Linked DNA regions of Neurospora crassa OR74A. The protein of the gene in region 1 interacts with the protein of each later gene in a biochemical or structural test. Links are inferred from orthologs where the notes say so. Each region holds a gene or a part of one and is shown on either strand. Other genes may lie near its edges.

Evidence for each region.
Region 2: the proteins of NCU08973 (region 1) and NCU03889 form a complex in vitro, tested with the Saccharomyces cerevisiae proteins (2 studies listed by BioGRID). The link is inferred for Neurospora crassa OR74A from reciprocal best matches to the Saccharomyces cerevisiae genes YKT6 and SFT1.
Region 3: the proteins of NCU08973 (region 1) and NCU01470 form a complex in vitro, tested with the Saccharomyces cerevisiae proteins (2 studies listed by BioGRID). The link is inferred for Neurospora crassa OR74A from reciprocal best matches to the Saccharomyces cerevisiae genes YKT6 and VAC8.

The regions. Positions count from the first base shown.
Region 1 is NC_026503.1:4,097,265-4,101,133, reverse strand, and holds NCU08973 (SNARE protein Ykt6), read left to right. Parts: upstream 1-1,450; 5' UTR 1,451-1,892; coding exon 1,893-1,913; intron 1,914-1,971; coding exon 1,972-2,137; intron 2,138-2,202; coding exon 2,203-2,492; intron 2,493-2,549; coding exon 2,550-2,669; 3' UTR 2,670-3,124; downstream 3,125-3,869. Other genes in the region: NCU16686 (hypothetical protein), read left to right, coding at 1-332.
Region 2 is NC_026506.1:2,053,157-2,057,399, reverse strand, and holds NCU03889 (SNARE), read right to left. Parts: upstream 2,801-4,243; 5' UTR 2,193-2,800; coding exon 2,058-2,192; intron 1,992-2,057; coding exon 1,830-1,991; 3' UTR 690-1,829; downstream 1-689. Other genes in the region: NCU03890 (stromal membrane-associated protein), read left to right, coding at 1-689; NCU03888 (DUF500 and SH3 domain-containing protein), read left to right, coding at 3,507-3,543, 3,642-3,745, 3,804-4,243. UniProt on the Saccharomyces cerevisiae protein: Vesicle SNARE required for retrograde transport within the Golgi complex.
Region 3 is NC_026505.1:4,631,927-4,636,148, reverse strand, and holds the start of NCU01470 (vacuolar protein 8), read right to left. Parts: upstream 2,801-4,222; 5' UTR 1,991-2,800; coding exon 1,960-1,990; intron 1,878-1,959; coding exon 1,792-1,877; intron 1,738-1,791; coding exon 1,617-1,737; intron 1,539-1,616; coding exon 1,425-1,538; intron 1,368-1,424; coding exon 1,122-1,367; intron 1,071-1,121; coding exon 321-1,070; intron 262-320; coding exon 1-261. UniProt on the Saccharomyces cerevisiae protein: Functions in both vacuole inheritance and protein targeting from the cytoplasm to vacuole (cvt). Involved in the formation of nucleus-vacuole junctions (NVJs) during piecemeal microautophagy of the nucleus (PMN).

The sequences.
Region 1 (3,869 bases):
TGACCAGGGGGGACGAGGTCGCGTCGGGAAGGTCGACTTCGTCAATCAACGGAGCAGACGAGTGCGAGCCAAGCGAGCCAAGAGCGAACGATGGTTCCTGTCCAGGTTACGCCCGACTGCCCGGCAAGACGTTGCACCCTGGACTTGCCTTTAAAGCCAATGGGATTGGCTCGGCCCTGGTCTGCAGCAGCGGGTCCACCCACCCACTGCACTGCGAACCCACTGCAGAGAGTCTAGTGTCCACTGCGCTTCGTCGCCGTCCCAACGTCCCCCAGCATCCCGCCCGTTCCTCTTCCATCTCACAAGCGAACGGCACCGCGACGGCAGAGTGAGATCGCTGGGGAAACGAATGGCGAAGAGCCACAGCTCACTGGGCTTGTCCTAATCGGTGCAAAAAGCGGTGGAGCACCACAGGCATCGCCGGCGTCCAAATCTGGTGTAGTGTAGGTGGAAGGAGGAACCGACGCATGTGCCGGCCACTTCACGAACCCCCCCTGTCTCTTTCCTAGGCTTGTCTACACGACACTACACTACATAGTACACTACACTACGGCTTGGTTTTCCTCTTTGAGCCATCTCCTCGTCATTACATACACTACGACTACGGGTCTTGATGGTTGTTGTTCCATCAAGGTCAACTTTTGGTAGGAAGACTTCTAGCTTCACCAGTCTGACGATCTCTCGGCCAGAAGTTCATGTCCAGCTTTACATTATTGGTGATGTACAGACGCGTGGGCAAGGCGGTTCGATGGTCATATGTGTGTAGTTACATTTGTGCGACCATGAATGATATGTACCCGAAAGGCTTCGAGATCCGACACGAGGTGGAAATCCGCGCGGTGTAATATCCGGACCTGGTGGAGAGGATCGATGACTTTGTTCTCGAAAAGGTCATTCAAGGCATCGATCCCATCCGTCTGACTCGAAGGAGTTTTGCTCCATAGTATTTTATACTGGGTAGTCGTGGAATCATATACTATGTGCCTCATAGGGGTAATACTCGTTGAGAGGTCCGCGATCCCTTCCAGACTCGGAGCAGAGTGCATGTCAAACATATTCGCTTCGCGGGTGAACACTGTACACCAAAGACCCTTTTTTCGCTTCAGGAAACCTCGTTAGAAGCATGGGCCGGCGTTCCGCTTGTTCTGTTTGTGCTTTCTAATCACCTTCCACATCATCAGTCCGTCCCCTTGGAAACTTTTGTTCAATGTTCCAGGAAGATGTTCTTGACAAGTGCGATTGTAGGGATCTGAGTAGTCGTCTTAGTCGTCATTGCACATGTCAATCATGGTTGAACAAAAAGCAAATGAAAGGACACGGAGATGCAACAAGAGCCCGTGTTAGGACAAGGTCTTCCTATAGTAGCATTGGCACTAACATGTGCTAGCGGGGCGGTGTTTGGCCGACGCCCGCCTGACGGTGCTGTTCCAGCCCAGAGGGCATGGGTCTCGATGGCCTGGCCCAACAAGAAGCGGACGGCTGTGGTTGGCTTCGACACATCGCCATTCAGCCTCGAACAACAGCTTGATTCCATCGATACCTCATCGCATCGCCATTGCCGCCATCGATCGCGCGTCGTCTATCAAACCCCTCCCCCTAATCCATCGACAATCGTCGAGCCCGAACCACGACCGACACAGCGACGCGCTTCCTTGACCAAACCATCGCAACTTACAATCCATTAACCTAATCTAACGACGAACCCTACGATTCGGCAATTCCAGACCTCATTGCTCCCCACGCCATCACATCGGCTCTCTCTATCCCAACGCGAGACATCAACATCATCGTGTACAGTCAGGAACCATCAACAGCGATACTCGCCTGATTTGCGCCAAAGCTCTGAAACACGACCACAACAAAACCTCGGGGACGTTTCAAATACCGCTACCATGAAGCTCTACTACATTGGTGTAAGATACGGCTGCTTTCATAGGGGGTACAAGAAGGTACCTGCTGACCGCGAACAAGATCTACAAAAACACCGAGCAGCCTGCGGTGCAGCTCTGCGGTGCCCACGAGCTTAGCGACTTCTCCAGGTTCACACGAGACCAATACAAGAACTTCATGACCATGATCAGCAGGACTGTCGCAGAGAGGACGAAGCCTGGCCAGAGGCAAAGTGTTGAGGAGCAAGGTGCGTCTATGGTGAACTCTCTGCTCGCATACATGTGCCTAGCTGACTAGGTGGTGTCCGAACAGATTATATTATCCACGCCTATGCCCGCTCCGAGGGTGTTTGCGGTGTCGTCATCACCAAGGACTACCCTCCTATCGCCGCCCACAGTGTCCTTTCCAAGCTCATGGACCAGTTTCTCTCGGAGAAGCCGGTTGCCACGATAAACGCCGCCAAGAACGACGGCGACATCCCTTTCCCGGCCATCGAGCAGTACCTTCGCGACTACCAAGATGCCAACAACGCGAGCAGCATTGCAAAGATCCAGCAAGAGCTCGACGAGACCAAGATCGTCCTACACAAGGCAATTGATAGCGTATGTCCATTCACAGAGGGTAGCAATGCTCTATATAACATGCTAACCTAGTTTTAGGTTTTGCAACGAGGCGAGAAGCTCGACGACCTGGTTGCCAAGAGTTCCGACCTGAGTGCGCAGAGCAAGATGTTCTACCAGAGTGCGAAGAAGCAGAACTCGTGCTGCCTGGTTATGTAAAGATCGTTCATCAATACCAACCAACCACGCGCGACTGTCTTCGCTTTTAGTCAGCCGCACTGATATATGCCATCGACCGCAACGTTCCCCCTACCCAAATACAAAGAGCGACTGACCCCTCGTTGTCTTCGAGGCACTGGTGGGGGTCTCTTCTAATTCAGCTTTTGGTTTCCGCGCAGGTTGCAGTTTGGCTACTGACGACAGAGGGCCTTACAGTAGCCGCTTTGGATATGTGAAAGCCACTTACCTTGACGGCTTCGTGGGCTCTGAGAATGCTAAACTTCTAATTCAACCTGCAATATACCCTTTCTCATATTCATTGTTGTGTGGTACATACCCGAAACTGTGAAAGATTGACCACTGTTTGGCGCTAAAGCTGTGAAATACATACTTCGACTACCAGATGTAGGTAGTCCTGTTATAGATTTGTTATGTGTCGAACCCGAGGCTGCGCACTTATCTGAGAGATCTTCGCTCCGTTTCTTGCATACCCGTTAGTTTCATACGACATCCGCCCTCAAAGATTATGTGATGGGCCGACACAAGCGAAGCGGTCGGGTTCCCCAGTCACGACATTCGGTTGCAGTGATGACGACCTTGTCCGCCACGCCGTAGTGGCGTAAACTGTGCGAGTCGTAACTAATGTACACTATGGTATATTCTAGGGGTTGTTATCCCTCTCAAGCTAGCCCAGCCAAAAAGACTCTTTTGAAGATATGAATGGAAACGTTGAGATTCAAACTACAAGACTACGCAGCAGCATCAATTGAGCTGATCGATGATGGCGGCATTGCGTACGGATCTTCCTCCATGCCGATCTTATATCGGCTCCGTCGGCGTCTACTCATGTGCACTACAGACGTTGGATGCAAGCTGGGGTTCGAACAACATCATAGGAAACTGAGACTGTAAATGTGCGGGGTGGCAGAGGCGCTCCTACCTGATGTCGCGCCTTTGCTTCAAATGAATGGGGATTCGGCTTACGGCAAAGATCATATTAGAATTCATGGGATCATCATTGGGGGTCTTTGTAGGTGACTGACATGTCGAGAACATCTATAGTCAAGGTAGAGAATATGTCACAAGTGAGAACTGCTACATATACGGCGTAAAACTCATTGTATTGGGCTGGGCTTTATTTGACACCAATCGAACCCTAAACAAACCCATTGCCGGGACCCAGTTGACTGGGCAGAGATA
Region 2 (4,243 bases), on another chromosome or scaffold:
TTTCCGGCCTAAGCGGTGGCAGCTTCTTCGATTCCAAGCCCGCCACATCCTCCCACCAATCCAAGCAGTCCATCAGCAGCCCACTGGGCTTCTCATCAACCCCTCCTCCTGCGCCAGCCTCTAAGCCCGCGCCCGCTTCCTCCGCCCTCGGTGACCTGTTTGACTTTTCCACAACAGCTACTGCTACTACCGCTCCTCCCTCGGCCGCCGCCCCGAAGCCTTCATCTGACTTCAGCTCCGCATTCAACCTTTCCAAGCCCGCCGCAACCACGCCGGCCCCTGCAGCCGTTACTTCAACAACACCAAACCCTCTTGCCTCTATTGCGACGTCTAACGCCTGGTCAGATGCAGGTGTATGGGGTTCCAACGAGTGGGCCTCCGCCCCTGAGCCCCCCAAGCCTGCGGCTCCTGAACCGCCCAAGCCAGCACCTGTTACCTCTATCCCTCTTTCTAACGATTTTGGATGGGGCAACAGCACCACCACCTCCTCCACTACCGGCGGCTCCTTCGCAAGCCAACCTATTGTCCCCAGCGCTTCGGGCGGCTTTGCCCCAGCACCAAAGGTGGCGGCCGATGAGGAGTTTGGGGGCTGGATGAGCAGCACTACCACACCAGCTGCTCCGAGCGGATCCAAGCCGGCTACCGGTTTTGGTGGCAGTGACGACCTGTTCTCAAACGTCTGGCAATAAGAAACCTTAGAACGACAATTCAGGGATCTCCGACATGGGGTTCAGAGGTAACCGAGTGCAGTCTACTGGGATTTTTGCTGTTGTCCTCGCGCCTGATGCCGACCATGTAAATATATAATCAACCGGCAGGTGATGTGAGAAATAGCTCGGACAAACTTATACCAAACCAAACCAAACCCATCAAGCGTCCGAACTTGTTTTTCCTTCTATACCACCTGACTGGAAAGGGGATGCTATCCACGAACACCATGTCGTACTTATGCTGTGGGAGTCTGATCTAGTTAAGAGTTAGGCAAATGATGGTTTATGCGTGACAAATAGGGGAATGATGAACAACGCAGTCATTCTTACATCAGCAAGTCATGTTTTGTTTTGGCATATTTACATTATAGACAACAAGTTATTGTTCGTTGGTAGGGCAAAAGTAATGCACTTTTATATAGGATCCTCCTATCTTTTGTAAGGTGTGTGTTGCCCTCATTAATGTCCTTCTGATGTCCTTGAAGTTTCAAAATGAAAAATCAAGGATGAGACTGAGAAATGTCGATGTCTGGCTTATACGACACGACGTATCAATGACAACCTAAGGTACGCAGAAACCAAATCCCAAATAAACAAACAAAACCGAACCGTCAACGCCATTGCTATGCCTTTGCATCTACCCGTCTGTTGTCGAGACAAAACATTAAGCCCAGTCTGTAAACCAAAATCCACACTTCGTTCAGAATCCACCAAAACACAGACCTACGGTCCTGCGTGACCTGCTACCCTCCCACCCATTGCCCCACCCTACATTGCACCTCCTCTGCGCAATACTAGTAGCGGCTTTTGTGGGAGCAAGCGGACTGCACATCGCCTGTACCAGCACTCCAACATCCAACAAGCTATCCGGACAAGCTCCATCCTGTCTTGATGTCCGGCTTCGCACGCATCCGTCTTATCATTCCTGATATTTGTCGGGAATCGAATCGTGCCGCCCTCTACATCCTTCGCCCTGTGTTGTTGTAGTGAACCCGATGAAGAGAACCTCCCTTCCTTTTGCTTCCTGGCATGTATTCGCATGTCGAAGTTCAATAGACCCAATAGACCCAATATTCAAACGACTTTAGCCCTCTCACACGTCGTGACTTTTTGAATCATTTAACCAACAAAAAGTCGATAAAGATAGTAAATGACCAGGAAGCTCCCAATAAGAATACCCGAGAGCTTGAGAATGGCGACCTTGTTCCCCGATGCGGCCATGCGGCCTAGACGGGTGGCGGAACCTTTGAGTTGAGAGCCCATGGAGGAGAAGGTATCGGTCTGTTCGTTGTTGGTGGGACTTGTCAGTTTGTTATTTTGTGCAGAGTAAAATCAAAGGAACCGTACCGTTTGGTCGATAACTTCGTGGTTGCGCGCCTGGTCGTAAATGTCAATCGTTACACCTCGAAGGGCAGAAACCTTGGAGGCTAGCTCGTCGAGGCGCGCATTATTTTGGCGCTCGCGCTCGTAGTTTGCGGACATCTTGATAATGGTAATGGGGGGGGGTTGTGTTGTGGTCGTAGTTGTATGTTGCGACTCGCTCAGCGGCCGTGTGGGAGGTTCACTCGTCAGTTTTGAGTATCGGGTTAATTGGAACTCGCTGATATGGCCCGAGTTTCGTATTATCGAAGATGTTATTACGTGTTATTTTGTCGCGCGCGCGGGGGTCGGCTTCGGTGTCTTGCAGCGTCCGTTGTTCGGAGTGAAGCCGTGGTGTTCCTAGGTATTGCTGAGTGCTATGGGGATGTCAAAAGGGGGTAGGTTGTAGCAGGTTCCAGATGCACTCAGTTCAGGGTCACAATGAAAGGACACCGGGATCATGCATCCATCATGATGGGGGCGGCCGGCTCACTGCAGCTTGTTGATGCATACACCAGCCACAGCTACGGCCTCCTAGTCGCGAATGATGTCAGTTTCGGCCATTTACGTGTGGCTGCGCGTAAAGCACATGCATGGTCAATGCGGGGTCTTTTTCGGGGGGAGCGGAGCCTGCTGGAGCCATTTGATTGTGCTCGTGGTCGGGCCACTGCAACTTTGGGTCCCGTCAGTCAGTCACCTACGTAACGACGAACGCCCGCTCTGCTCTGCCCGCTGGACAAGGCCCGGGTATTCAAAGTGGAAGGTGCAGGGCGCAGGGACGGAGTAAAGTAGAGAAGTAGAGGTACAGTAGTGTACGCTACTGCACAGCCCACGGCGGCAGTGCTTGCCCAAGCCCATCCCAGCGTCTCCAGTGATTGAGGGTCCAGTGCTACAGTTCTCACATGACGCGCGGCACGAGCTCCAGCTTCCATTTCCAAGTACTTCCATTTCAAATGTTGACTGTGATGAATTCCATGCCACTGTTTAGCCTCGCTCATCAGTTACTCCGATCTGTGAAGAAGAGGGAAAAAAACAAACTCTCAAACGGACAGTTACACCAACAAAAGAGCACGCACAAAGGCTTATCCTCCGGGAACAAGATCGTTCATCACGAACAACAAGTGACCCCAAGGATCTCCCCAGCATCTTGACAAACCGCCGTTGTGGGGACGCCCAGGTACCAACCTCGCATTTACTATGTACACAAGAAATTGACCGGGCTGATCTGCTTACTTGCTTGCCTGCCAGTGTGCCTGCAGGCATTGATCGGCCAGTGTCCCGAGAAATGACTGACGAACTCCATCTCTTTCTTTCTTTCTAATATTTCGCTGTCGCTGTCGCATTTCCACGGCATTCTCACCGCAGCCGCTCTACACGCCCTCGCCCTTCAAGACCCGCGCCAGTCCGCTATAGGGAGTTCCGCTTCGACACTTCAAGATGGGTATCAACAACCCTCTTCCGTCGTCACTTTCGTGTGAGTTTGTGTCCCCGGGGTTCCCGTGCTGTGCGAGCCCGACCCCGCAACTCCCCTTCGCTTCGCCGAATCCGACATCCTAACACGTCTGTAACCAGCGGAATGTAAGAAGTGCGGTAAAATCCTCGCCTCCTTCATCGAGCCCAAACAAGCCTTTGGTCCCGACAAGGTGATACCGCCATCAGTGCTCGCGAATGCCAAGGTACGAAACAGCATCCGCAACCTCAACGAAAGCGACCAGGTGGTTAACGTTCTCCTAGGGTCTTGCTATACTCACCGTCATCAAAGCTGGTTTCCTCGGATCTGCCCGTTTCGGTAGCGGCCTGGTAGTCGCCCGCCTCCCCGACGGCAGCTGGTCTGCCCCCACCGCCATTGCTACGGGTGGTGCCGGCTTCGGCGGTCAGATCGGTTTCGAGCTTACAGATTTCGTTTTCATTCTCAACGACGCGAGCGCCGTAAAAACCTTCGCCCAAGCTGGGTCACTTACACTTGGTGGTAACGTTTCGGTCGCGGCCGGGCCTGTCGGTAGAAATGCCGAGGCCGCCGGAGCCGCTTCGCTGAGAAGCGTAGCGGGCATCTTCAGTTATTCCAAGACCAAGGGCTTGTTTGCTGGCGTGTCTCTCGAAGGTTCTATGATAATCGAGCGAAAAGACGCCAATGCAAAGCTCTATGGTCGTCAGGTTTCCGCCAAGGAGCTCCT
Region 3 (4,222 bases), on another chromosome or scaffold:
CTTCACCCTCGTCATCGTCCTCCAGTTCGTTATCCGACTCAATCTGGCGGTTCGCAATCTGTCTAATCATATCCACAATGTCGTTCGATTTTCCAATCAGCCCAATAAGCTTCTTGTCTTCAGATTCGAGGAGCTGCAGCAGTGTCCAGATCGCAATATGTTGAAAAGTGGCGTCGCCGCTAGCGAGGAATCTGCTCAAGTAGCCGTGGATGCCATCGCTTGGCTCGTTCCAGTTGTGAATGAAAACACTGTAGTCGCCCACTGTTCGTTCGTCAGCATGTCAGGCCCAGAAACAACAGTTCATCAAGCATTCCACTGACCTTTAGATGACAGGTTACCCAGAGCCGCAGCACTGTTTCCTTGAACCTCGATGCTAGGTGACTTGGTAAGAGGAATCAAAACCTCAAACACACCGAGCTCCAAAAGATTTGTCTTCAGTTCATCACTCAGCGCCAGAACGGCAATGGCTGCCGTCATCTCCGACTGTACCGTCACTGGAACCTCAAGCACCAACTGCTTGCACTTCTGTACAGCGCCAGCCTCAAGCACCAACGCCTTGTTCCTGTCCGAGCTCGCTGCCAAGTTTCTGAGGGTTGAGATAGCATGACACTGGATCTCCTCGTTATCGGTCGACCCTAAGAGGTCAACCAATGGTTTCAAAAATCCTGCCTCGATGATGGGAGACTCGTTCATTGGGTGGATTGAGATGTTTCGAATGCAGGCAACAGCCGACAAAATGAGCGGTAGATAAGACGACTGAAGAAGACGGAGAAGAGGACCGAGACCGCTGGCGCGAACGATTTCCAACTGGTACTTTTCGTCCGAGGCGAGATTCCGGAGTGCCAAGGCGGCCTGGCATTGAACCTTGGGTGAAGAGGAGTCCATCAAGTTGACAAGAGACTGAACAAGCCGAGGCTCGGTCTGCGCAAGCTTCCGCCTGTTATTGGCGTCGACGGCAATGTTGCTGAGGGCAGTAGTGCAATAATACTGGACGTCGACATCGGTGGAAGACAGTAACTGAACCAACACAGGGATCGCGCCTGCATTGACCAGTTGTTGGCGATTTTCATCTATCACGTGTTAGCAATGTCTAGACAACGTCCGTCACGGTACAAGCCTACCAGAGTGTGTCATGTTTAGGAGAGCGCCAGTAGCATTGCGTTGAACTCTCATGTCCCTAGATTTGGCGAGTCGTGTCAATGGTCCTAGAGCCCCGGAACGTGCAATCTTGGCCTTGTTGTCCTCGTGCGTGGCCAAGTTAGTGATACACCCAACAGCGTTACACTGAACTTCGACGTTGGGCGACATCATTTGACGGATAAGGGGGGCCAGACCACCGAGCTGGACTATCAGGACCTTGTTGTCGGCTGTTCTCTTATTAGTCATCTCTACCGCACATAGACATCTTCGGGAAAAGCACCTACTGTTTACAGCAAGGTTCCCCAGCGCCGCGCTGGCTGCCCTTTGTACCTCGATATCGGAGTTTTGGAGAAGGAAGAGGATGGGTTCAAGAGTATCCCGGTCAACTGCCCGCACATCTAGCATGAGCAAGACAAAGTTAGCAACCCGAAGACCAAGACAAAGGGTCCTGATACAATGTCTCCAACGCTACGTACCTCGCTCGGTGATTTCAGCAAACGTCAGACTTGCACTCCGTTGAAGATCAATGTTCTCCGAGTAGACGAGAGTGCTCAGGGCGCGTAGGGGCTCTCCGGAGAAGAAGTCGGTCTCTCCGCGCTACACAAGGGTTAGCGCTTCCGTAATAACGCGGGCAGATATCGGTACGCATACATTTTCGAGATATTGGAGGAGGTCGGCAACAGCCTCCCGCTCGCTGTCGGCGAGGACGTTATCATACAAACCGTCGCGGGATTTGCCTGGCGGGTCCTGTTAGCTTTACTGCACGCATCACATATACATAAACGGAAAGGGAAGAAAGGCATTCAGGGCGTCACATACCTCCGCAGCACGAGGAACAGGAAGCGCCCATGGCTGCTGAGGGACGCGAAGCGATCTGCCGTCAACCGCGATGTACAACAGAGAGGCCGGGCGCTTTTGGATGATGCCGCAAAGTGGTGGTGGCGATGATTGTTGTGGTGGAATGCCGGGGAAGTCGACTCGGAGGGCGCCCCGGTGTTGTCGTTCTGGGTCCGGCAGGCGGTCGGTGGTGTGCCCTGGTCGGTGGTCGGGAGTCGGATCGGTCGCTCCACAACAAGGTGGACGGTGGACGCAGGGGTTGTTCTTGACGTTTGCGAGGGCCGCGAGGGCGAAGCGAGATCGACGATACAAATGATTAAAGACAAAGCAGCTGGAGCCAAAGCACGCCTCAAACGGAGCTCGGAGTATTGCGAGTTCACTGATAATGTGAAGAAGCCTATGTGCTCTGGTGGCTGACGACACAAATTGGAGGGAAGGGGACGATGTCGAGCGGGAACGGGCAATGAGACACGGTGTTGAATGATTTTCTTTTTTTGGGGTTTCTGGGAGGGATTGTTGGGTTGCGTGAAGCAGCGGGACAGCGGAGAGGCTGGAAGGAATCACGGTCTTCACAAAGAGATGGAAGACGGGAACAAGCACAGAGAGGCCGCGCTATGTACCGAGGAGCACCGCTCACTCCACTCACTGCTTGGTTGCGAAATGGATGGAAGCACGACGGACACCTCACGGACAGACAATATGGATCACGCTGCCTTGCCCCCGGTGCTGCTGCCCTTCGTTGTTGTTAATCAATGCGAGCAAATCTGTTGAACAGGGACCGGCGGCAGAGGCATGAATGATGGGTGAGCGGCGTCGAAGCTGCCACTGCCTCGCAATCGCGCCCTGGCCACTGAGACCCGAATCACAGAGCGCACCATTACACATACACGGGCAGGGCAGCGAGGCAGCTTCCAGAGCCCGGGCGTCTGGGGGAAAAGTGGGTCGTGCGCTGAGGTGGCACCTGCGGTTGTGGATGCTCCTTGCGACTGGACCCGACCTAGGGTGCCACTGGATTTGATGTCATCACCACAACGACGACGCCATCCTCCATCCAGGCTTGCCAGGGACCCAAATTAGGGACGAAGGCGCGTAGAGTAGAAGATACTGTAGGTACCTACTTGGTGTTTCCATTGATGGGTTGCAATCATTCATTCCCTTTCTTTCTAGAGCTTTTGAGTCTTTGTCTTTGCCGAACAGCGGGTAGTATCTCCTGTCGGATCTTTCCACTCTCAATAGGTACTGTCCTCCAGTGTAGTATCCTGGTCCAGCCGCATCACAAGAACAAGTCACCTCACCCACTATCACAACCACACAGGCTGTGACTCTGTATACGGCAACTGAAGTGTACATGACCTTTGACCTTTCATTGTCTCCGACCCAAAGAATGTGTGGTGTCTCAGCACCAGGGAATACCCGATTCGTGTACTCTGTCGTACATACAAGGGAATTTGGGGGTCTACTAGGTTGTTAACGGATCTACCGGTCGCTGTGCCGTGTTTCGTTCAAGACGAAAAAGTGACTTGATGCAGTGACGACCGTTGAGTGTCAGTTAAGTTCGGAAGTAGCGTGGTGGTGTTAGATACGTATCTTGTCATCTCATTTCTTTGATCGCCATGCCACCCGGATTGATTTGTTTTCTTTAGGCCTGGGCACGTTTATGGAATCGTGGCACGTTAATGGCTTGCTTCAATTGGCCAGCTATATGACCATAAGGAGCTATAGGAGGTGGGCGTGAGCAGCCTGGCGTTGGTGAATGTTGACACAGCATGATGAACGTTCAACATCTGAAACATGGACATCGCTTCCCACATCTTATATTTGCAAAGACATCGGAGATCTTACTCCGCAAGACGCACGTTGCAGTTCTAGACACCTTATTCAGAACCACTGGAAGATATATTCTTGCTTTTACCATAGCCTATATGACCATGGCTTCCTCTCGCGAGAGGCTGGTAAGTTACTTTTGTTTTCCATTCAGCAACGGCTTTGAAGAGAGGACCCGGTTGGCTTTCATCACAGCACATAGTATCGAGATGGTTGGAGGGTACACAGGATAGAGGAGTTCAGAGCAGGAAGGGCATGTTCACTAAGGAGTAGTGATTGCCACTGTTCAAGTCAACTTTCATGTACTTGTTCCAGATTTGAAGCCGTTCAAAACACAACCTAGGAAGTGTATGATTTGCCAAGCGATGACACTCTCAACACACATTGTACATATCAAAGTGAAGAGCAACCTTTTAAAGAT